4 linked regions of the Ovis aries genome follow. The protein of the gene in region 1 interacts with the protein of each later gene in a biochemical or structural test. Links are inferred from orthologs where the notes say so. Each region holds a gene or a part of one and is shown in the gene's direction. Other genes may lie near its edges.

The links.
Region 2: the proteins of SMAD1 (region 1) and STUB1 form a complex in vitro, tested with the Homo sapiens proteins (3 studies listed by BioGRID, with this or other methods). The link is inferred for Ovis aries from reciprocal best matches to the Homo sapiens genes SMAD1 and STUB1.
Region 3: of the proteins of SMAD1 (region 1) and MAPK1, one has a biochemical effect on the other in vitro, tested with the Homo sapiens proteins (3 studies listed by BioGRID). The link is inferred for Ovis aries from reciprocal best matches to the Homo sapiens genes SMAD1 and MAPK1.
Region 4: of the proteins of SMAD1 (region 1) and ACVRL1, one has a biochemical effect on the other in vitro, tested with the Homo sapiens proteins (2 studies listed by BioGRID). The link is inferred for Ovis aries from reciprocal best matches to the Homo sapiens genes SMAD1 and ACVRL1.

The regions. Positions count from the first base shown.
Region 1 is NC_056070.1:12,881,875-12,888,272, reverse strand, and holds the start of SMAD1 (mothers against decapentaplegic homolog 1), read left to right. Parts: upstream 1-2,849; 5' UTR 2,850-3,048; intron 3,049-3,326; exon of another isoform or gene 3,327-3,535; intron 3,536-3,602; exon of another isoform or gene 3,603-6,398. UniProt on the Homo sapiens protein: Transcriptional modulator that plays a role in various cellular processes, including embryonic development, cell differentiation, and tissue homeostasis.
Region 2 is NC_056077.1:1,116,659-1,122,765, forward strand, and holds STUB1 (E3 ubiquitin-protein ligase CHIP), read left to right. Parts: upstream 1-2,614; coding exon 2,615-2,773; exon of another isoform or gene 2,774-2,779; intron 2,780-3,264; coding exon 3,265-3,463; intron 3,464-3,549; coding exon 3,550-3,715; intron 3,716-3,756; exon of another isoform or gene 3,757-3,902; coding exon 3,903-3,990; exon of another isoform or gene 3,991-4,135; coding exon 4,136-4,192; exon of another isoform or gene 4,193-4,279; coding exon 4,280-4,396; exon of another isoform or gene 4,397-4,472; coding exon 4,473-4,598; 3' UTR 4,599-4,859; downstream 4,860-6,107. Other genes in the region: RHBDL1 (rhomboid-related protein 1), read left to right, coding at 62-122, 193-464; uncharacterized protein LOC101103616, read right to left, coding at 1,104-1,267, 1,368-1,520, 1,693-1,852, 1,985-2,078, 2,486-2,616; JMJD8 (jmjC domain-containing protein 8), read right to left, coding at 4,906-4,986, 5,076-5,210, 5,294-5,361, 5,449-5,568, 5,648-5,716, 5,806-5,902, 5,980-6,028. UniProt on the Homo sapiens protein: E3 ubiquitin-protein ligase which targets misfolded chaperone substrates towards proteasomal degradation.
Region 3 is NC_056070.1:72,086,779-72,092,466, forward strand, and holds part of MAPK1 (mitogen-activated protein kinase 1), read left to right. Parts: intron 1-2,639; coding exon 2,640-2,749; intron 2,750-3,707; coding exon 3,708-3,824; 3' UTR 3,825-3,833; intron 3,834-5,031; 3' UTR 5,032-5,688. UniProt on the Homo sapiens protein: Serine/threonine kinase which acts as an essential component of the MAP kinase signal transduction pathway. MAPK1/ERK2 and MAPK3/ERK1 are the 2 MAPKs which play an important role in the MAPK/ERK cascade.
Region 4 is NC_056056.1:134,403,067-134,407,700, reverse strand, and holds part of ACVRL1 (serine/threonine-protein kinase receptor R3), read left to right. Parts: coding exon 1-196; intron 197-3,019; coding exon 3,020-3,150; intron 3,151-4,343; coding exon 4,344-4,478; 3' UTR 4,479-4,634. UniProt on the Homo sapiens protein: Type I receptor for TGF-beta family ligands BMP9/GDF2 and BMP10 and important regulator of normal blood vessel development. On ligand binding, forms a receptor complex consisting of two type II and two type I transmembrane serine/threonine kinases.

The DNA.
Region 1 (6,398 bases):
GTGAAGACGGGAGAGAGGTGATGGAGAGTCCCGCGTAGGCATCTGAGGGAAGGGCTTTCCAGGGAGAAAGCAGCTGGTGCAAAGGTCCTGAGGTGTGAGTGTGGCCCGGGTGATTCCAAGACTTGTGAGGAGATCACGGTGACTCAAGGAAGGAGCAAGGGATAGAGCAGAACAGGTCAGGAGAGGAAAGGGAGGCAGGAAGGAAAGTTCATGAAGGGCCTTCTCCACATGGCGAGAACTTTTGAGTGAAGTGAGTCAAGGGAAGATTTGGGAGCATACAATGATATCAAGGCAACCCACATTCAAGTTTTCACAACTGTCTCAACAAGATCCTTTTAATAATAGTTCAATTTTCTATTGCCATTGAAAGAAATAGCTGGCACCTGGGGCAAAATCAAATTTCATAGCATGTGTGGACATGAGTTTGGGTAAACTCCGGGAGTGGGTGATGGACAGGGAGGTCTGGCATGCAGTCCATGGGGTCGCAAAGAGTCAGACATGACTGAGCGACTGAAATGAACTATGCTATTAGTAATTATCATTTGGGGCTACTAGGCTGTGCTGGGAAAGGTCATCTATAAGTTAAAAAAATTAACAGCTCTATGTCTTTTTATAGCTTCCCCCAGAATCCAGGATCCAAACATGGATTAATTATCATGTCTTTTTAAAAAACAGCTTTATTGAAATAAAATGGACATGTCATGTAAGTTGCCCACTTAAAGTGTACTGTTCAATGAGCTTTAGTATATCTGTATAGAGTTGAGCAATCATGATCACAGTCTAATTTCATTTTATTTATTCATTTATTTTGGCTGCACTGGGTCTTAGTTGCAATATGTGTGCTAAGTCGCTTCAGTTGTGCCTGACTCTGTGACCCTGTGGACTGTAGCCTGCCAGGCTCCTGCGTCCATGGGATTCTCCAGGCAAGAATACTGGGGAAGGGTGTCATCCCTTCCTCCAGGGGATCTTCCCAACCCAGGGATGGAACCCATGTCTCCTGCATTGACAGGTGGATTCTTTACCTCTAGCGTCACCAGGGAAGCAGTTGCAGTATGTAGGATCTTCATTTGAGGCATGTCGGCTCTAGTTCCCTGACCAGGGCTTGAACCCTGGCCCCCTGCTTTGCGAGCATGGAATAGCAGCCATTGGATCACCAGGGAAGACCCAGACTAATTTTAAAACATTTTTTGTCACCCCCTAAAGAAACTTCATAACCTTTGGTTATCACACCCCACCCTCAGCCCTTCCATTCCCCCAAACATAGGCAACTATCATTCTACCTTCCAACAGGAGCACCTGTCCCGGATATTTTGTATAAATGGAAGCTTACAACCTGTGGTCTTTCGTGTCTGGCTTCTTTCGCTTACCATAGTGTTTCCAAGTTTCATCCATGGAGCTTGTGTCAGTGCTTCATTCTTTTTTATGACTGATGGGGAGACAGTGGAAACAGTGTCAGACTTTATTTTGGGGGCTCCAAAACCACTGCAGATGGTGATTGCAGCCATGAAATTAAAAGACGCTTACTCCTTGGAAGGAAAGTTATGACCACTCTAGATAGCATATTCAAAAGCAGAAACATTACTTTGCCAACGAAAGTCCATCTAGTCAAGGCTATGGTTTTTCCAGTGGTCATGTATGGATGTGAGAGTTGGACTGTGAAGAAAAGCTGAATGCTGAAGAATTGATGCTTTTGAACTGTGGTGTTGGAGAAGACTCTTGAGAGTCCCTTGGACTGCAAGATCCTACCAGTCCATTCAAAAGGAGATCAGTCCTGGGTGTTGGTTGGAAGGATTGATGCTGAAGCTGAAACTCCAATACTTTGGCCACCTCAGGCAAAGAGTTGACTCATTGGAAAAGACTCTGATGCTGGGAGGGATTGGGGGCAGGAGGCGAAGGGGACGACAGAGGATGAGATGGCTGGATGGCATCGCCGACTAGATGGACATGAGTTTGGGTGAACTCCGGGAGTTAGTTGGTCATGGGCGGGGAGGCCTGGCGTGCTGCGATTCATGGGGTCGCAAAGAGTCGGACACAACTGAGCGACTGAACTGAACTGAATGTTCCATTGTATGGATATAGCATACTCTCTTTATCAAAGGAGGGTTTGAGCAGAGGAATGACCTGATCAGAGTGGCATTTAACAAGGCTCACTCCAACTATTGTTTCAAGGAGTAGAGAATGAAGAATTGTGTCAAATGTTGATTTTAGGGAAAATGAGATGAGGCCCAAGAATTGATCTGTAATTGCTCAAATCATTTAATGAAGAAATTAGCAGAAATAGTCTGATCTGTGTATAAACACGGTTTACATATTTCGGGGGACTTGTTGCATTTCCTTTGAATAATTAAACATGGAATGCAGAAATAATAAAATAGCTAATAAGAATTTTAAATGAATGTGCACATGTAAAAGTACACGAACAATTGGAGAGTACCATTAATTTTCTAAAAATACTGGTGGTAATGGTTCTTTTGGTACACGTGAAATTTATTCCTCAGAATAATTATTCGCCTCTAAACATAATTCATCATTATGGTAATTATCCAAGATTTCGTGCCAGCTTACAGAGAGCTGGCCAAGAGAAAAATTAAATCTTACAAAAAGACACTGTCAATGTCTATGCAGATCAGGTTGCTGGGAGTTAGTTCGTTTTATTTGGGGAAGTTCGTGCGTGACATTTGAAAGACTTAGAAACTGGATGGAAAAATTGTTAAGTTATATTGTGGTATTTGTCATCTGGAGCAACGAGGTAACCAACTGGCATCATTAGATCCCGAACTGGCATAAAACACACGTATTGATTGATTCAAGGTTTGCTATAAACACAGGCAATAGTCATTAGGTTATCCAGTTCTGCGTACGAGCAACTTTTGGGGCTTGCAAATCACTGAGTAAGTGAAGGGCAAGGAAAACTAGACAGTAAAAAGGCGAGGCTCGAAAGGTAATTGTCAAAATGCACTCTGCGTTTCCAATGCGGTTCGGTGGGCACGGTGGGAGTGTAGATGAACATTTCGGAAATAAACACTGAAAGCGAAACTTCACCGGCAGGTAAGGCACAAGTCGGTTCCCCCTGGACTCAAGGAGGCAGGGGCAGTAGTGTTTTCTCCTTGGAACAAGCGGGGCGTGGGGCTGGAGGCGGGGGAGGCGGCGCGGGCTCAGCGCTCGCGCCGGCAGGGCCGGGAATTTGGAGAGGATCCCTGGTCGGGCGGCGGTGGCGCGCGGGTGCGCGTGTGAGCGAGCGAGCAGGCGGGCGGGCGAGTGCGCCGAGTATTGGCAGCCGAGGAGTGGAGGCTGGGCGGCTCCGACTCCCTGACGCCAGCGCGACCAGATCAATCCAGGCTCCGGGAGCGAGCGAGCGGGCGAGCGGGCGGGCGGAGGAAGGAGAGGCCGAGCCGCTGAGCCCGGGCCGAGGCTCGGGGAGGGACCCTGCGAGCGCAGCGCGGCGCAGCTCCCGGTCGCCCGGACCGGGGCCGCGGGGGACCCGGCTCGCCCGGCCAACTCGTGCGCCCGCGCGGATGGGCGCGCAGCCAACCCGGTAAAACGAAACAGACCCGAACCCAACTTTCCCCTCCGCCGCGTCCCCGCCCTCCCCTCGGCGCTCCGGGCTTTCCAGCGCCGCCGCCTCGGGCTGGGGCGGGCGCGGGCGGGCCGGGTGGCCGCGACGGAGCGCGGGGCCGGTGGCGCGGACTGCGGCGGGGAGGGGGGTCTCTTCCCCGCGTGGGGCGGATCGGGGGACCCCCACCCCCGCCCATGATGGCGCCTCCCGGCCGCTCTAAAGGAGCAAACCTGCCACCTTTTTCCCTCGGCGCCGGACCAGCCGGGCTGGGCTCGGGCCGCGGTGCCCCCCGCGTCTTTGTTGGGTCTGCGGTGCGGAACCGCGCTCCGAGGCTCCCGGGCTCCCGGCCCTGGCTGCGCCCGGCCCTCTGCGGCCACCCTCCCCCTCCGCCGGTTTCCCTTTCCCTTCCTGCAGCCGGGCCTGGGCACTCGGCGCGGCCCGCGGGCCCATTGTGTCCCGCGCCGGCCCGGGCGACCCCTGCAGGAGTCGGAGGGCGGCCGCCGGCGCTGCCCTTTCCGCGGAGCCGGGCTTGCGCCAGGGGGACACCCGGTGCCCTGGGTCCCTCCGCGTGCGGGGCGGGCTCCCTCCTCTGCCCCCACTAGCCTCTTGGGGGTCGAGGTCAAGGAAAGTTCGCACCGAAATTCCCTCTAATTTATTCAAAGGTCTGGCGGCGGCGGCGTGTAAATTTTTTTTTTTTCTCTTCCGCCTACCCCCCCTCCCCCGCGCCAAGTCTCAGAGTGTCGTCTCATTCCTTTCCCTTTCCCGGATTCGATTGCCTCACTGCGTGTGTGTTTGTGAGTTCGCGGTGCAACAACTGTTCATTTACTCTGCGCTCGGTCTTTGTTAAGTGTTTCTCGGGGTTGTTGTTGCGGGAAGGTGGGGGTGGTGGGTGTGAAAGAGATGTGGGCTTGTTTTTCTAGTTGATTTATATATATTTATATATGAAGGCTTCCAGGGAGAGCGTTTTCTTGATGTACTTTGGGAAGGGCTGGGGAACCGATGCCTGCAGGATCTTACAACTACAGTAGCTGCGGCTTTTGTTTATTTTGCGGCGCGGACGTTGTTTCCATGCACTTGCAAGATCGCCGGTAAGGCACTTCCCTTTCTGAAAATCCGGGCGCGTCTCCCAGCCATCTCCCGAGAAAGCATCGTTGTCGAAAGGGCTGTGACAACCGGCCCCTGTTTGTTTCCCCTGAGGTTCTCTTGCCATTGTAGCTGAAGTTTCTTGAGTAGGTGGAATGACACAGAAGTTGCCTGATTTCTCGGTGTGCTGTTTCTGCTGCTGAAACTTTGAGCACGCCGCTCGATAGCAGAATGCCTTGATTTCAGAACATTTCTCGCTCTCGTGGCCTGCCGTGGATAGCGTGCTTACATTCAGGAACACAGTGAGAAAACTGTTCTCTGCGCTCTGTTGAGTTTTCATCTTGTTTCTAATAACCGCGTGATGCTTTATTGGAGGTAGGTGAGCTGTACTGGAGCCATGATTGAAAAAGAATCGGGACCGAATCAATGTTCACAGCCCCGGGATTTTTCAGTGGTTTAAATATTTTGCATCAGTGTTACTCTGTTGGAGGGGTCAGGCCTGAATATGCTGTAACTGATTTAAGTGTTTGTGCTCTCCTCTCCCTCCGTCCTTCCCGTTTGCAGTTATTTGATATTTCTGTGCAGGTGGTGTACATTTGTGCACTATTGCAATTCTTTAGGAAACTATAACCAGGGTCTTGGGAGGTGGTTTTCTAGAGGTGGGTGATGCCAAAGCCTCTGGAGGATCCGGGCAGGATCAGGTTTCTTCTGAGGGTAGGGATTTGTCCTTGATTTAGTTTTGACCGCTCCAGCCATAGGTATGTAACAGAATACATTTTTCCTTTTTTCAGTGTCCTTTGGTGTTATACCCCTGAGGAGCTGATGACCTTTGCATTTTAGAGAATTGACAATTCTTAGGCCATTTAAAATGTTAATTTATACCTCTTGGAATTCAGTTTTCTACTAAGCTCAATGAAGCATTAAAAGGAAGTATCTCATTTTTCCAAATACATTTATTAGTTGAAAACTAAACTGCAGTTTGTAATTTTGATTTCTAGTAATTCTGGGTTTAATAACTTGGTTAGATTGGAAAAAGAATAAACTTGAGTGTAATTAGATGAGTGTATTTAAGCTGCAGTCACCGCCATAATCAAGGCCAAGTTGTGTGTGTATAAAAGATCTCATTTGTGTAGTCTTACAAGGCTAATGGAGGCATCATTGAGGCTTTATAAATAATGTAAGTTGTGTATAATGTAGAGTCTCCAGAGACGGCACAGAAAGCATCATTACCAGCCTTTTCAACCTGCTTGAGATCTTAAATTGATTTACAGCACTGAACTGGTGCAAAATGATACATCAGGATGACATGGGGTCAGCCTGTAAAAGTCTATGATGTCAGCCTATTAGTTCAGTCATCATAATTAAACCATATTACAGGGGCAGCTGAGCAGGAGTCTGGCGTTATCCTTCAGATATGGGTGGTACATGGATTCTGTTTATAGCGGAAATGCGGAACTGGTGAGGAACGCTCGCATTTCTGGAAGAGAAGAAAGGCTTACAGAACTCTGAGTTTCTGAAAAGAAGATAAATTAAGGGATGTTAAGTCTGCGTTAAGCAGCTTTCCATTTGGTAGTGGACAAGCAGATGCTTTGGGGGTGCTGATAAGGACCTTTGCAGCTCTGATCCCTGCACTGAATCATGCTTCATGTGAGCTTGAATTTAACTTGGCCTAAGGGACCTTCTAAAATATCAGAGAACCACATACTTCGCATCTCTGATCCTTAACATGGAGTCGCACTATATTGATGTATCCGCTGGT
Region 2 (6,107 bases), on another chromosome or scaffold:
GGTGGGGTGTGGGGAGGGGCCCACAAGACCTATCTCACCACCTCCTCTTTGCACCCATCAGAACTGGGCTGGGATGAGGTGTCCCTACAAGCTGCTGAGGATGGTGCTGGCCCTGGTGTGCAGTAAGTAGGGAGCCAGGGCGGGGGTCTCAGCCCCTAGCCAGGGGGCCTCACCTGCTGCCTCCCCCTGCAGTGAGCTCCGAGGTGGGCCGGGCTGTGTGGCTGCGCTTCTCCCCGCCACTACCTGCCTCGGGCCCACAGCCCAGCTTCATGGCGCACCTGGCGGGCGCAGTGGTGGGCGTCAGCATGGGCCTAACCATCCTGCGCAGCTACGAAGAGCGCCTGCGGGACCAGTGCGGATGGTGGGTGGTGCTGCTTGCCTATGGCACCTTCCTGCTGTTTGCCATATTCTGGAACATCTTCGCCTACGACCTGTTGGGTGCCCATATCCCCCCACCACCCTGACAGGGTCCCCAGGGCCACAGGGGCCAGGGTGCAGGACCCCAGGGCCAGCCACCGGGCAGGCCTGCATGTCCACCCTCAGTGAATGTAGTCTCGAGGCTGCTCCTTCCCGGTGTGGGCTGGTGGCCCCTGTGGCCCACTGAGTCCAGGCCGAGCCTTACACTAGCCCTGGCCACCCCCTCCCAGGCTGGAGGGACAGGACTGCTGGCCTGGGCCGGGTGGTGGAGGTCCCCAAGAGTGGCCCTAGAGAAGATCCTGCCTCTGCCTCTTCCTTGAGACTTGCAGTCTGAGCCTTTTTGAAGAATGAATAAATATTTTACACAGCATTAGCTGGCTGTACTGGGGCCCTGGGCTGGGCTCGTCTCCCCCTAACTCTGAGCAACTGTGAGAGCCCTTCCCTCCACAAGAGTGGCTGAGGGCCCCCCCCCACCCCCAACCCTGCTTCTCTGAACCCAGCATGAGGTGTGTCTGTGGGAGCCGGGAGCCCTGGGGAGGGGCTGTGGGTCTCACATTCAGGTGTCAGTTCAGCAGGCATTTATTGAGCTTCAACAGCAGCCAGCTTCCTGGTCGGCCAGCCTCCTGTCCAGAGACTTACGGCCTGAGATCACAGGGCAGGTGAGCAGGCTCTGGCCAGCAGCCAAATCACTCAGCCTGGGTCCTGCGCTTCTTGGCTGGCCTGGTGTCCTCAGCGGGGACCAGGTTGGGACCCAGGTTGGGCAGCAGGTCCGGGCACATCTTCCGCCCTACAGCCCAGGTCCACAGGGCCGTCTCCACGTGGTGTGGGGTCCACAGCCCAGATGCACTGCCTAGAGAAGGGCAGAGAGAGTCTGGGGCTCGGAGATACCGATCTTCCTACGGTCAGAGAGAGCTCTCCGTGACCACCCGGGCCGCCCGTGGTCTCCGCACCTTGGCTCAGGGCTGTTGCACGCTCCTGCACCCGGCTCAGGTAGAGCAGGTAGTGCTTGACAGTGTACTGCAGGGCGGGCAGGCCGGGCACTGCGGCCACTGCCTCCTCAGACATGAAGGCTGCCGCCTCAGGAGCTCCGGCAGCCAGTACCGCTGTGGGCAGTGAATGGACAGCACTCAGCCCCGCCTGGGCCTGGGGCTGCTGTCCCCAGCGACTCTCCTGTATCATGTATCTGGCCGTCGGACCATTTCATGGATAAGGACACTAACAGGCCAGGTTCCGCCAGCGACCCTGCCCGGGGGTGGTCCAGCTTTCCCGACTAACCCGAGGCGGTAGCCGGGCCCACGCCACGGAGGGCGCACAGAGCCATGACCGCTGCGTGCATGTCTGGCAGGAGGCGGAAGGCGGCGGCCGAACGCTGCACCACCAGCTCCGGAGAGTTGGCGGCCACGAGTTGCTGCAGGCGCGGTCGGAAGCGGCCCCTCTGTGGCCAGGTCGGGTCGGGTGTCACGGGTGGCGGCCCTCGCTGGGAGGCCCCTCAAGACTGCCACGAGGGTGAGCCCCCTGGGAAGCCCCACCCACGTGGCTGTGCCGCGCCCCAAGTGGGAAGCCTTACCGCCAGTTTCCACGCCAGCAGCCGCTGCAGCTCGTCTAGTGTCACGTGCTTCTCCGCGCGGGCCCCGATGGCCGCGGGCAGCTCCTCTCGGTACCTGGGGGAAGGCGGCGCTACGGAGTCCGGGCCACGGGGCTCGGCCCGCCCGCCCCTGCCCCCTCCGCCCTACCACCGGTCCAGCGCTTCCAGCCGCCCCTGGGGGCCCGCGCGCGCCCGCAGCACCGCCCCGCGGCACTCCAAGACGGCGGCCCAGCGGCTTGGGTCCTCACAGCTCCAGAGCCCGCCAGCCGCGGCCATCTCCCCGCGCCAGGCGAGGCCTCGGGGGCGGGGCGTCGGAGCGCGGCCGGGCGGGCGTCTGCCCGGGTGACCCAGCGCGTCGCAAACCTTGACGCCGCGTCGCGTTGCCAGAGTCCCCCTCCCTGCCGGCCCCGCCCCCACAGCGCGCCGGGGGCACGCACGGCCCCGCCCACCCGTGCGGCGGTCCGCTCCGCTGGCCCCGCCTACCTGCAGACCGGAAGTTCCGGTGGCGGAGCGCTGGACCGAGCCCGAGCGGATCGCGGGCTCGGGCTGCGGGCGCAGGGCGGGCTGGGCGCGGAGCCTGGGAGCGGAGCCCAGGCGGTGCCGTGCGGCGCCATGAAGGGCAAGGAGGAGAAGGAGGGCGGCGCACGGCTGGGCGCCGGCGGCGGCAGCCCCGAGAAGAGCCCGAGCGCACAGGAGCTCAAGGAGCAGGGCAACCGGCTCTTCGTGGGCCGCAAGTACCCGGAGGCAGCGGCCTGCTACGGCCGCGCCATCGTGAGTGCGCCCGCGCTGCGGGAGGGGCTTGGCGTCCGAGCCAGGGGAGGGGCCGAGCTGCGGCTTCTGCCGCGCGCCCTCTTCAGAACATGTCAGGCCGTGCCCGCCAGACTTTCGGAGGGAGGGGGTGGGTGCTTGGGGTCTGGGGCCAAGGCCGCGCCTTTCCCGAGCCAGTGCGGGCTGCCAGAGAACTGTGCTGGGTGGGAACCGTAGGTGTTCGAGGCCCACTGGGCTGGGGACCAGGCATCCCTGCCCCTTGAGGAGTCAAACGCGATGCTGGGGATTTCCATGAGTCCGGGAAAACTACCTTCACAAGACTCATTGGAGTCCAGAGAGTGGGCTCACGTAGGCTTCACCCTCCCTCAGAACCCAGGGGCTTGGAAGCTGAGAAAATGCTAGTGTCTTGGTTCCAACCGCGGGCCTCAAGTTGGGACGGAGTGGGCAGGCTGAGCTCACTCCCTCATGCTGGCTGGCCCGGCCTTGGTCCCCAGACCCGGAACCCCTTGGTGGCCGTGTATTACACCAACCGGGCACTGTGCTACCTGAAGATGCAGCAGCACGAGCAAGCCCTGGCCGACTGTCGGCGCGCCCTGGAGCTGGACGGGCAGTCTGTGAAGGCACACTTCTTCCTGGGGCAATGCCAGCTGGAGATGGAAAGCTATGATGAGGCTATTGCCAACCTGCAGCGAGGTGGGCTTACAGGCTAGCTGGTTCCAGGGTGCCTGGGACCAGGTGGGTGGACTGGTTGAAGTTTACCCAAATGCTCTATCCCCCAGCCTACAACCTGGCCAAGGAGCAGCGGCTCAACTTTGGGGATGACATCCCCAGTGCTCTGCGCATCGCAAAGAAGAAGCGCTGGAACAGCATCGAGGAGCGACGCATCCACCAGGAAAATGAGTTGCACTCTTACCTCACACGGCTCATTGTGGCTGAGCGTGAGAGGTGGGCTCCCCCTCTTCGAGTCACCACTCTTAGGTTAACTCTGAGGTGTGAACACAAGTGTTTATTGAAGGCCAATTCTGGCACGCAGGAGATGGAGGGAAAGGGGCCTGAATGATCCTAAGTCTGGAGTGGAGTCTGACTGCCCCTGGCCAGACCCATCTCTGAACACCTTTTGGTCAACCCCCAGGGAACTGGAAGAGTGTCAGCGGAACCACGAGGGTGACGAGGACGACAGCCACGTACGGGCCCAGCAGGCCTGCATTGAGGCCAAGCATGTGAGGGTGCCCCAGCCCGAGTGTGGGTCCTGTGTGTGCGTGCGCTGTGATGTGAGGTGCCCTGGCTCCTGCTGGGTCTGTGTCTCGGTGTCTGGGGAGGGGAGAGGGGTGTCAGGCCCACAAGTGGCTGCTTGGTTCTTTGCAGGACAAGTACTTGGCAGACATGGACGAGCTCTTCTCCCAGGTAGACGAGAAGAGAAAGGTGAGCTGCCCGTCTTCTGGGGCCGGTGGGTAGCTAGAGCAGTGTCCCTTCCCAGCCCCTGACCTGATCCAACCCTGTGTGCTGCAGAAGCGAGACATCCCTGACTACCTGTGCGGCAAGATCAGCTTTGAGCTGATGCGGGAGCCCTGCATCACGCCCAGTGGCATCACATACGACCGTAAGGACATCGAGGAGCACCTGCAGGTGAGGGTCTGTGGGCGCTGGCAGCAGGGCCCACGCGCACTGAGCAGCCCCTGACTCTGCCCTGTTGTCACTGCAGCGCGTGGGCCACTTTGACCCTGTGACTCGGAGCCCCCTGACCCAGGAACAGCTCATCCCCAACCTGGCCATGAAAGAGGTCATCGATGCCTTCATCTCTGAGAATGGCTGGGTAGAGGATTACTGAGCAGGGTGGGTGTATGGGCCACCCACCTGCCTTGCCCGGTACCCTAGTTCAGGAGGGCCTTGGGGCAGCAGCCCCTAGTTTTCTGTATATAGTTTGTGTCCCTGGATCCCTACCCTGGTGTCCCCACCCCCACCCCCATCAGTTCTGCTGGGCAACACGCCTCTCATCCTCCTTCTGGGCCGGAAAGGGGGGGTGAGGCTGGGCTGGGCTGAGGCTGCTGCCACCACCTCTGTCCCTGTAATAAAACCTGTGAGTACTGCAGGGATGTGTGCTGGTGTGCGGTGGGCTTGCCAGCCACCCCCTTTGGCTAGCCGAGGAAGGTAGAGATGAAGACGCTGGTGTCGAGGTTGAGTGTGGCATGCCACCATCGGTCCGGGAAATACAGCACCTGGCGAGGGGTTGGGGGGACATGTGGGTTGATGGGTTGGATGGGGGTCCTTGGCCTGGCTCAGCCTGGCCCGTCTGCCAGCCACTGACCTCACCAGCCTGGATAGTGCATTCCAGGGGCCGTGCAGATGGTGTCAGGGCTGGATATGTGTCCTGGAGCCAGGCCAGTGTGGTTTTGTTGGGGTGGAATTCGGGTGTCTTCTCAGGAGGGTACAGGAACCAGCGCTGGGGGTTGGCGGGGAGCAGCAAAGTTATGCTTTGTATTTTGGTCAGTGAACCCAGAGTCTCAGCCTGCACCCTGTGCTGACCTTGCGGCCATAGATCACCTCCGAGAACCCAGGTCCATGCCAGTGGAAGGGCACCCCAGAGCCAGCTCCTGTGAGGCAAGTTAGGAGCACCTGGTTACCAAGCTTAATCCTCCCCCAGCCAGCCCCCAAGTCCCTTCGTCTTGCAGGGCACCCACCTGCAATTCCAAAGCTGTAAGCAGGAGTTGTACCCAGCAGGCTGAACGGAGGTGGAGAGTAGTGCCGAAAGAGGGAGGCCCATTCGGTGAAGTTGTTGTCCCCAAAGAAGTACAGAGTGTCTGCCAGCAGAAAACAGGACACAGGGATCTCCAAGTCACTCCCCCCTACACACACCCAATGGCCACCTGTCTCGCTCACCATTGCCCATGGAGATGGGGTCCTGGGGGTGCAGCATCTGCTCCACATACTTCTCAAAGGGCAGGTCCACTGCAGTTTGAAAGGCGTTGGTCAGGACTAGTTGGTGCTGCCTGCAAGATGCTGGCAAGCAGGCTGGGCTGCGGGGTGGGGCAGCTCACCTTTCTGGTAGGAGTAGGTGTTGGCGGTGCTCAACCGGACCACGCTGTCTCCAAAGGAGGCCAGCAGCCTCTGACGGGTGCACAGGTCCCGGAACCTCTGCGGAGGTAGAGAAAGGACTTCGGGGCGGGGCCCTGCACTGGCGAGTGGTGGTCGAGAGGGGCGTGAATACTCACCGAGTTGTCTGTGAGCCCCTGCAGAATGACAGGTCTGGAAAAGGCGTAGCTAGAAGGAAGGGCAGGGTCACGGCCAGGTCTGACCCGCCCCCACCCTCGGCTCCCGCCCACACGGGCTCAAAGGGGCT
Region 3 (5,688 bases), about 59 Mb from region 1:
CGCACATCGCGTGATTTCAGCTGCGTGGAAGACGACGCACAGGAAGGTTCTACAGACGTGTCAGGGACGAGCGGTGGGACGGCCTGTGGGTGCGGGGAGTCCTCAGACTGGAGGGCCGGCTCTGAGGCCTCTTCTGCCCTCCACGGGAGCCCCTGACCGGCCTCAGCCCAGAGGGCTTCACCAGCCTGGGGACCAGCAGGCCATGGACTCCGGGCACAGCTGCTGTGACCAAGTCTGGCTTTGCGATGAGCAGTGCCTTCTCCTCCCGCCTCTCCTGTTGGCCAGCCTCGTTTCTCATTGTGACACGGTGGCCTCCAGCAGCTCTAGGCTCACACTGGCCTGTGTCCTGAGAGCACCCGCCCCTGGCGGCCGCTGCGGCCAAGCCTCTCCCTGCTTCCCCGGGCAAGAGTTGCCCACGGGATCTTTGTCCCCCAGTTGGGAGTCAGACTCACGCTCCTGCAGTGGAAGCTCGAAGTCTTCACCAGCAGCGAAATCCCCTGTTTCTTGAACTTTAAAAAACCGCAGTTCTTGTGAGAAATCTATCTCCATTTGTCGGATAGCCCGCCGTTTGAACAGCATGCAGACTTCCTCGCTGCCCTGTAAACACGTGCGCACCCACATTCTCAGCGGGGCCGTGAGCAGCGTCCTGTCTCTTGTGCGGTGGGTGCTGAGCTGACTCTGGGGTCAGGAGAGTTCAGCAGATGGCAGCTGAGGTCCTGGAGGAGGTCGGGGGGTGAAGACGGGGACTCTCGGGGGGTGGATGGGAGTCCTCCCTGGGCAGCATGGGGGGCAGGGCCTTGGAGCCTGTGGAAGAGGAGGCCTCCAGTTCAGGTCCCGGTGGCCGCTCAGAGGGCTGAGGGATTCAGAAAGGACCCCGGGGAGTGGGGGCCAGGATACAGCAGGCAGGGTCAGCCTTGGAAGGGAAGAGGGTCCCCTTTTCCCAGAAGGATGCGTGAGGGCCCGCTGGAGGGATGTCCAGGAAGGCCACCTGGGGAACCTGGTTTCCCTGTAGGATATGCTGAGGCATGTGTGCCAGCTGCGGGGAGGGCCTGACCCGCCTTCGTGAGCGGGAGGCGACGTGCTCAGGGCAGAGCAGGACTGGCCGGGGCCCCGCGGGTCTCGGCCGTGTGCTCCTCAGCCCTGAGGCCCCACGACCCTTCCCGGGGCCTGCGGGGTGAAGCCCTTGGTGGCAGCTGACTCCTGGAGGCCTTGGCAGCAGGGCTCTGAGCCCAGAGTCTGAGAAGCGCGGCTGTGGTGGCGCAGCCTGCACAGGCGGCCGCCTCCTCTGGCCCCGCTCGGGACTTGGAGCCGAGGGTGGAGGGTGGACGGGACAGGTGGCAGCCCTGTTCTGAGTCGGAGTCCCGCCTGGTGGGTAAGGAGGCTCAGAGTGAGCGCCAGCCGGGCACGCTGCCCTGGGGCCTGGCAGGGGAGTGACCCATGGGGCAGACAGTGGAGGCACAGAGCTGTGCTCCCGAGTTAGAGGACAGCGTGGGATCCTGGAGAGGCAGGGTCGCGGCGGGGTGCCATCCGGCCTCTGAGGGCTGGTGGCCTCCGCACCCAGCGACGCGTGTGCGCAGACAGCAGGACTCGGTGTGGCGTGGCGCCCGGCCTGCACCTGCCCGCGGCTCGCCTCCCCCAGCCTCCTGTCCCTGCGCGTGGCTCAGGTGGAGCAGGCTGGAGGCCAGGCCTTTCTCCAGTAGCAAAGAAAAGAGAAGAGCTCTCTTCCTTTGAAGTTGTTGCCTAGGATTGAACTTGAAGGAACGCGAGGTCTGATTTAGGAATGCCCGTCGCCTGGGGTGCGTCTCTCTTAGCAACAGCAGGAGGTGGGGGTTAAAGGCAGTGCTGGGGGCTCTGACCACTGCAGACGAGGGTCGCGAGTCCTGAGGCAGACGGCCGCTCTGGGCAGGGGCGGGGGCAGGCCCTGGGCCGCTGGGGTCCAGCAGGCGCCCCGTGTTTCCCTGTCGCTAGTTGGAAAATGTGCTGTAGGCAGAAATTCACTATGTGGACTTTAAAAAGATCCTGCTGTTCCTCACACTTCGCTTTATGGACGTGAAAACCGTCCTGTGTGGTGTGGAGTTTCTCACCACATGCAAAGCGGTTTACTGCTTGGATGGACTCCTCATTGAAGGTGGGTAGGGGTGGCAGGCCTCAGAGGCGACTCATGGGGGCAGAGCCCAGCGCACGTGGGCACACTGCGTGCCTGCTGTCTCCAGCAGGGAACGTGTTTCCAGCGGCCTGCGCTTCACACAGGCCTGTCAGCCGGAACTGGAAGGAGGGGGCTGAAGCCACGGGGCAGGAAGTGGCCAGGCCAAAGTGACCTTGGAGCTGACCTGAGCGCAGTAGTACGCATAGCCTCTGCTCGCGACCCTGCAGGGTGGGGCCGTGCTTTCGGACCAGGCCGGGTTTTGTGGGCAGCCTTGGGCCTGAATCCTGGCTCCCTGTGGAGCCTCTGCAGAGCGTACCACCTTCCTGAGTGTGGTCTCTGCCGTCAGACGCTCAGGTGGAGCAGGCCCCCTGCGCGCCCGGCCCCCTCAGCGCCCCGGTCTTGTGGGTCGTGACTTAAATAAACAGGAAGTGCCTGGTCGGTGCGGTGACTGCCCCTTTGGCTTCTCATCTCTGCAAAACCTTTCTCTCTGTAGCTCTGGATTTACTGGACAAAATGTTGACGTTCAACCCTCACAAGAGGATCGAGGTGGAGCAGGCTCTGGCCCATCCGTACCTGGAGCAGTACTACGATCCAAGCGACGAGGTGAGAGTCCGGCAGGGGCTGCCTGCTTGGGCGGAGGGGGAGTGCGCACGGATCTGTCAGCTGCCCCAGGCGCAGTGGCGGCCGGCTCCCTGTGGTGACAGGGCTGCAGCGGAGAAGGAGAGACCCGGGCTCTCACTGCCCTGGGCGCCAAGGTGTCAGAAGGACAGCACGCCTAGGGCCCCACACAGCGAGCCCTCCCGCAGGGAGAGCAACCGCGAGTTTCCTCCTTTCCCCCTTTTCGGGGGCCAGAGCTGAATTTGGGGTGTGTGTTTTCCTACCCCTTAAGACCTGGTGTGAGGATGGCAGGGATGAGGTCTGGGGTACCTGGTAACAGCAGCACTGAGCGTGTGAGGAGGATCTCTGACGCACAGAGACAGTGCTGACTCTCTGGTTATTTATATGGAGAGGAGATACTTAAAAAACACCAGAAAATACAAGAAACATCACTTTGTAGTCTGGTTACACGGATAGTTGTTGTTAAAATTCTGGAGTATTTTCCATCTCATTCTTACGTTTTTGTATCTAAATTTAGAAAAAGCAGGGTTCGTTCTGTGTAACGTAAATATGGCCGTTCGCCACAGTTTTCATCGGCCGTGAGGCTTCTGTTCACTGTGAGGCTTCTTCACAGACAGGCGCTGGCGTGTGCTGAGCTAAGCTAAGTCGCTTCAGTCGTGTCCGACTCTGTGCGACCCCATAGACGGCAGCCCACCAGGCGCCCCCGCCCCTGGGACGTGCTGAGCTAGTGTGTGAGCTTCCAGGCTTTGGCTCTGGACACACCGGGCAGCCAGCCGCAGCCCTCCCCACCCAGCGCAGTGCGGGGGCGCTGCCTGCTGTCGGTCCCGGGCGCGCGGGGCACACCTCCCACCCTGGGGGGCTGGTGCTGCGGGCGGGAGCCCAGAGCCTGGGTAGCAGCCCCGCCAGGGGCACCCTCATCTCAAAGTTACGCTTTATCTTCAAGCCCGTCGCCGAAGCACCCTTCAAGTTTGACATGGAATTGGATGACTTGCCCAAGGAGAAGCTCAAAGAACTCATTTTTGAAGAGACTGCTAGATTCCAGCCGGGATACCGATCTTAAATTTGTCAGGTACCTGGAGCTTTAACCGTAAATAAGTCCTGGCGAAGAAGACAGGGTGTTACCAGGTGTCATTAAAGGGGGGTTTCGTATGGAAGCTTTGCAGCCCGAGGTGTGGGGAGCCGTACAGCAGTGATGGTTGGGTTTTTTGAAGCGCTCCAAAGAGGAAACTGATCTCAGTTTTAGAGGATCTGTGGAAGGGGAGAGCACGCGGCCTCTCTCAGAGCTCGAGAAGTGAGTGGAAATGCCTGGGACAGGCCAGCTTGGGCGTCGGAGGGCAGGGGCTTCGGCGCGGTCTCTTCGTGCCCCTCCCCCAGGGTGGTCCCGGGGGAGGGCGTGAGCCGCAGGTCCTCCTGCTCCCGGTGAGCCTGCGGGTCTGTGGGCAGGGATCGCGGGTTTGACCTGGAATGCGACTTCCTCAAGTGAGACAGGACGTTAGAGGGGTGCTGGGGCCTCCCAGAGGCCTGGTGGGCCCTCAGGGCCGCCTCTCAGGGCTCGGGGTGGCAGGGGTCCCTTCCTGCCCTTCCCAGTCCAACCTGCCAGCCTCACCTTCCGGCCAGCCCGTGGCTGCGCCGATCACGCTTGGGCAGAGAAAACTGGGGCATTTAAGGCAGCGCTGGTTGGGAGGCGGCGATTCTGGGCGGCGATTCTGGCCCACCTGCCCGTCCAGAGTGGGGGCGGGCGTCCTGCCAAGAGGGGCAACAGCGTCCACTTGAACGGGCGTTCACAAGACGCATGCGTCCCGGGGTGGACCGCCGGTTAGCAAACGGCACCCGCCTGCACACCGCAGCTGCAGAAGCCTGCGTGCAGAGCGGAGACCAGCACGGCCAGAAAGAGACAGAGACCGGAGGGGGAGATGAGGGGCCTCTGGGAGGCTTCCCTGTGGGCCTCGCCTCAGAGGTAGGGGCGCCGCTTTCACCACTGGTTGCGAAGCAGATCCCACCACGTACTGTCAGTTGTGGCCAAAGAAGGGCGTCTGGGAGCGTGGTGCTGGCCCGGCCGTGGGGTGGGGTCCTGGGCAGGTCTCTGGGGCGGCTGAGGGCGGGTGCCCCGGGGCTGGAGGTGAGCCCCGTCCCGTGGGCGGTTCCGGGAAGGTGGCCTTTGCTGCAGCAGTTTCTCTGCTTTCCCGCTTTTGTGTCCTCCCGCCACTGCCGTTTCCCCGCAGCGCGTCCATGGCTCACGGAGGATCTGTCTGTCTGTCTCCCCACAGGACATGGGCCCGAGGACGGCACGCAGACCCCGCGGCTCTCCTGCAGCTCCTGACCCGCCTGTCCCCAGCCCGTCTGCGTGTCCACCTGACTCCTCTGAGCCGTCGGAGGGGCGGCTCCTGGTAGTTGTGGCTTCTGTGCTTTCAAAGAACTCCCCCGGCCAGGGTGCCGTCCTGGCCCCGTGTGCGCCGCCTCTGGTGACCTGCGGCTGTGCGTCCCTCAGGGCCCCTCCCGCCCACCTTGCTTCAGTCACTACCCGCCTTCTGCTCCGAGAGATGCAGCGGGCCCTCCTCCCCTGAGCCCTGCCCCGGTGCCCTGCCGCTCACATCTCCTGGGCGCGTCACGGCAGCGACAGCCCCCTTTGCACTCCCGCCGCCTCACGTCACCCTGGTCCCTCGCGGGCGCCAGGTGTGCGCTGCGTGCCTGGCGTGTAGGGCACCGCCTCGTCTCTACATGGGAGGAGGAGGCCCGCCTTGGGCAGCTCACCTGCCCCGTCGAGGGCACAGCACTTGAGGGACGCGTCACACGCGGCCCTGCCTGCTTGCGGGACTCCCGCCAGCAGAGGCGGCTCCCCGGGATCCGGTAAAGGGCGCAGGCCGCAGGGCGCCCGCCCGACGCCCGAGGGCCGGGTCGGGGCACACCGCGTCTCGGGAGCAGCT
Region 4 (4,634 bases), on another chromosome or scaffold:
CTGGCTGTGATGCACTCCCAGGGTAGTGATTACCTGGACATTGGCAACAACCCGCGAGTGGGCACCAAGCGGTACATGGCCCCCGAGGTGCTGGAAGAGCAGATCCGAACCGACTGCTTCGAATCCTACAAGTGGACGGACATCTGGGCCTTTGGCCTGGTGCTGTGGGAGATCACCCGCCGGACCATTGTCAACGGTGAGCCTCCGGCACCCCCCTGCACAGGGTGGGACAGGGGAACAGGGCCGGAGGATACCCAGGCAGACAGGTGGGAGGCAGGGCTTCCTGTCTCCGCCGGCCAGTGGCCTGAGGGGCTTGTGGTCAGGCCTTCCAAATTCCCTTTCCTGTCACTCACCAGCTGGCTCAGCTGAGCGACCTTTGCAGGTTCATCTGAGTCTGATTCTGGCTGCGAAATCTCGGGTAATTGGTAACAACAGAAATATTAATAACAGCTAACATTTATTGAGTTTCAGTACGTGCCAGATGTCATGCTGTGTACATGTATTATCCTACTGAATTGTCCTGTGTTGGCAGGGAGGTGGTATGCTTCAGTGGTTAAGAGCAACGGAGGGAAATCAGACTAAGTTCAGTGCCTGATTTTTGCCATGTGTGAAGTACTTTACTTTTCTGTGCCTCAGTTTCCTCATTTGTAAAATGAGAAGAAAAATAATTTCCAGCTGTTGAGATAATCCAAATAAGGTAATCAGGGCAGTATCTGGAACTGTAGTGGAGTTCAGTAAATATTGGTGGCAATTGTCGTAATGACAAATGCGTGACAGAGCAGCACCCCCATTTTACAGGTTGGGGGACTGAGGCACAGAGTCACAGCTGGCTAGCGGCAGCACTGGGGTCTGAAACCAGGCACTTTGACTCTTCGGACCAGTGCTCTTTATTACTGAGCTACTTCCACCTCTTTGGTCCTTGTTCCCTCAGAAATGCAGGATGTAATAGTGCCTGCACTTCCTGCTTATTGATGCCTTACTATTATTATTACTATTTTTCGCTGCACCGTGCGGCATGCAGTATCTTAGTTCCCTGACCAGAGATCGAACCAGTGCCCCCTGCACTGAGAGTGGAGTCTTAACCACTGGACCACCAAGGAAGTCCCTCCTGCCTCATTATTACCACGGGTGCTACAGAGAACCGAAGCTCGGAGAGGAGCAGGCACAGGGACCTCATTCTTCACGGTCCCATAGAGGGCCTGCCCTGTGGCTGGTGCCTTCCCAGTCTTGGGGTGGATGGGTGCTGGGTGGTGCTCTGGACCAGGTAGGGAGGCTGGTCAGTCTTTGTGGAGGCTGTCCACGGAGAGGGGCTGCCAGGAGTCTTGACAGGTTGAGGACCACCCTCTTGCTGGGCTCAGGTTCAGACACAAACTCCAGAGGCTGGGGCTGGTAAAGGGGGCACCTGGAAGCAACCGAGGCCCCTCGGACCCAGCCACAGGCAGGAAAGGAAGGCTGGACCAGCCTGGGCTGAAGAGGAGGCTGATTGCAGACTCCTGGGGAGGAGGGAAGCTCTGTCAGCTCCACACAGATTCGCGGCGCATTATAAACACTGTAATCTGGTGTCAGCCCCGGCGCTGATTAAAGGCCCATTAGACACGCTCAGGCCTCTGCGCAGCACTGATTAGGGCTCAAGCAGCACGGGGGCCGGCCTGGACGCCCGCCACGGGGAGCACAGCTGGCTCGGGCTCTCCTGAGGCTGTGGCTGTTCTGTGTGGCTGCAGCCCCCAGCCTCGGGCTGGAAGAAGGGTGGGGCCTAAGGTGCTTTTCTGGGGTCTGGCCTCTTCTGCCTCAGTGACTGCCGCTCCACCAGCATCATCTTCAGAAAGATCCTGCTCAGGATGGCACACTTGGGATGATGAGGGGAGGGGTTACTGCTGGCTGAGGGGGTCAGCAGAGGCCTGTGCCACCCCTGAGAGTGAGTGGATGTGATCTGGACCTGGGTAAATCTCCTTCCCTTCGAAGATGTGTTTTCTTCCCCTTCTCCTCATTCTATATCCTTACCCAGCAGTCTGCCCCCCTCCCTCAAGTGTAGCTTGGAGGTCAAGAGCATGGGCTTTGGTAAGACTTCCTGGGCTTAACTCCTAGCTCTGTCACTTACTATCTGTGTGATTTTAGACAAGCTTCTTAACCTCTCTGGCCTGAATCTGGCCTGAATTTCAGAGAGAGAGAGAGAGAGAGAGAGAGAGAGAGAGAGTGAGTGAGTGAGTGTGTGTGTGTGTGTGTGTGTGTGTGTGTTAAGTTGCTTCAGTCCTGTCCGGCTCTTTGCGACTCCATGGACTGTAGCCTGCTGGGCTCCTCTGTCCGTGGGGTTCTCCAGGCAAGAATACTGGAGTGGGTTGCCACGCCCTCCTCCAGGGGATCATCCTGACCCAGGGACAGAACCCGAGTCTCTTTAGCCTCCTGCACTGGCAGATGTGTTCTTTACCACTAGTGTGACTTGGGAGCCCCCTCATTGCTTATAAAGTGGAGCTAATAGTCTTCCTCATCTGATAGGGTTGTTTTGTGAGGATCTCATGCCATACGGTTAGGACAGTGCCTGCCACATAGTAATTGCTCAGTAAACATTAGCTATTTTGGGGCATCTCTGATAGCTGGGGCCTGGAAGCAGTACCTTGACCCTGGGTGAGAGGCAGCTGTGGAAAGACTGGAACAAGATCTGTCCTATGAATGCAATGTGTTTAAGTCTTGACTCTACCATTACAAGCTGTGTATCCTTGGGCTCAACTTCTCTGAGCATCAGTTTCTTCATCTGTAAAATGGGTGGTCAGGTTGCTGTGAAGACTAATAGGATTGTGCATTTTATAGCACAATGCCTGGCATATTTGGTAAGTGTAAGATAAATGGCAGTAATTATTGTTTATAAATATATTTATTATATTATGGTGTCCCTCTCAGAGGTAGCATGGGCAGGCAGCTGGTTTCCTGGACCCTGGGACTGAGTGTGGGCAAGGCTCACTTCTGGGTGGTATGGGACGTGTTTGTGGTCCCAAGTGACTGTCCCATTGTCCTACATCCCTAGGCATCGTGGAGGACTACCGGCCACCCTTCTATGATGTGGTGCCCAATGACCCCAGCTTTGAGGACATGAAGAAGGTGGTGTGTGTTGACCAGCAGACCCCCACCATCCCCAACCGGCTGGCTGCAGACCCGGTGAGGCCCCTGGGGGTGCTGAGATGGTGTGGGGTGGTGGCTCAGCACTGGGGGTTCTGGGCTGAGGAACTCATGTCTGGCCTCTGCTTCCCCTGGGTAGGCTCTAGGGGAGAGATCCCAGGGGACCTCTCTGGGTACTCCCTCCCACATTCCTGCCTGTGGACCTCCAGAGACGCTCCAGTTATTCTGGGATTTTTTTAGAATGTTTCACCTTGCCTGCAAAGACAGAGGTTCTCTGCTATTTTTTGCTGTGAAGTTAGTTGTTCTTTTTTCTCAAAGCACTCCACATACTTTGTATAGAATGCACATATATGTATATATAGGCAAATATAGGCATATGCACACTTCTGTACAAACACACATGTACACATTCACAGGTACACACACATGCATATATATACCAGACTGTTGGCCCCATGAAGACAGAGAAAAAGACCTTTTTTCTCTCTTGGCACTTTTCTCCTTGTTCCCTGTCACAGTGCCTGGCACACACTAGGTACTCAACCAATGTTTATGGAATGAATGACTGAACACTGACATGTGTATACATGTATATATACACAGACCCAAGTAAATTTCTGCACAACATTACAGAGCCACAAATAGCCACTCCTATGCACACACACATACAGTCCCTGCCAGGAACTGGCTTGAGTTCCAAGGCAGAGGTGAGGCTGGCTCACTCTGCGACCACTGAGCTTCTTGGACACATGCATTTTGAGGGCAGCACCTACCACCCAATCTCCCAGTGTCCAGTGGACCAGGCCAGGGTTGGTGGAGGTACTGGGAGCCACTGCCTTCTGCAGTGGGGTCTGGCCTCAGAGAGGGGATTTGAGAGCCCCAAGGCCTGCAGGTCTCCCCTCTGTTGGGTCTGGGTGGAATGAGAGTGGGGGTACTCACCGGAAGGTGTCCGTGAAGGCCTGAGTTCATCTTCTTTCCATCCTGCCTACCTTTCTCCATCCCCTTCCCACTCCACTCCCTTCCTCTTCCATTTTTGTCTTTCTTTTCTCATCCTTGCCCTGTTCCCGCTATCTCCCTTTCACCACTGCTGTCTCTCCTCTCATTTTCGACACTCTCGTTTCCCTCTTCTTGACTTTTCTGTCCGCTTGGGCATCCTCCTTGCCTCTTCCTTTCCACGGTCCCTGACCCATGCCTCTACTTCCTCTCCTCTCCTTCACTCTCCCTCCCCCCAGGTCCTCTCAGGCCTGGCTCAGATGATGCGGGAGTGCTGGTACCCCAACCCTTCTGCTCGCCTCACTGCGCTGCGGATCAAGAAGACCCTACAGAAACTCAGCAATGGTCTCCAGAAGCCCAAAGCTATTCCCTAACCATGGGGCTGAAGCCTGACTCCCCTCTGCCTGCAGTGTCTGTGGGGTGGCTGGTGGATGGCAGCCTGCCTGAGTAGACATTCTGTGAGTGTGTGTGCCGGAGAGGGGGTGCCCCTCTGTGGGCAGCTGTGCCTGTCCAACTCGGCCCCCAGCCCA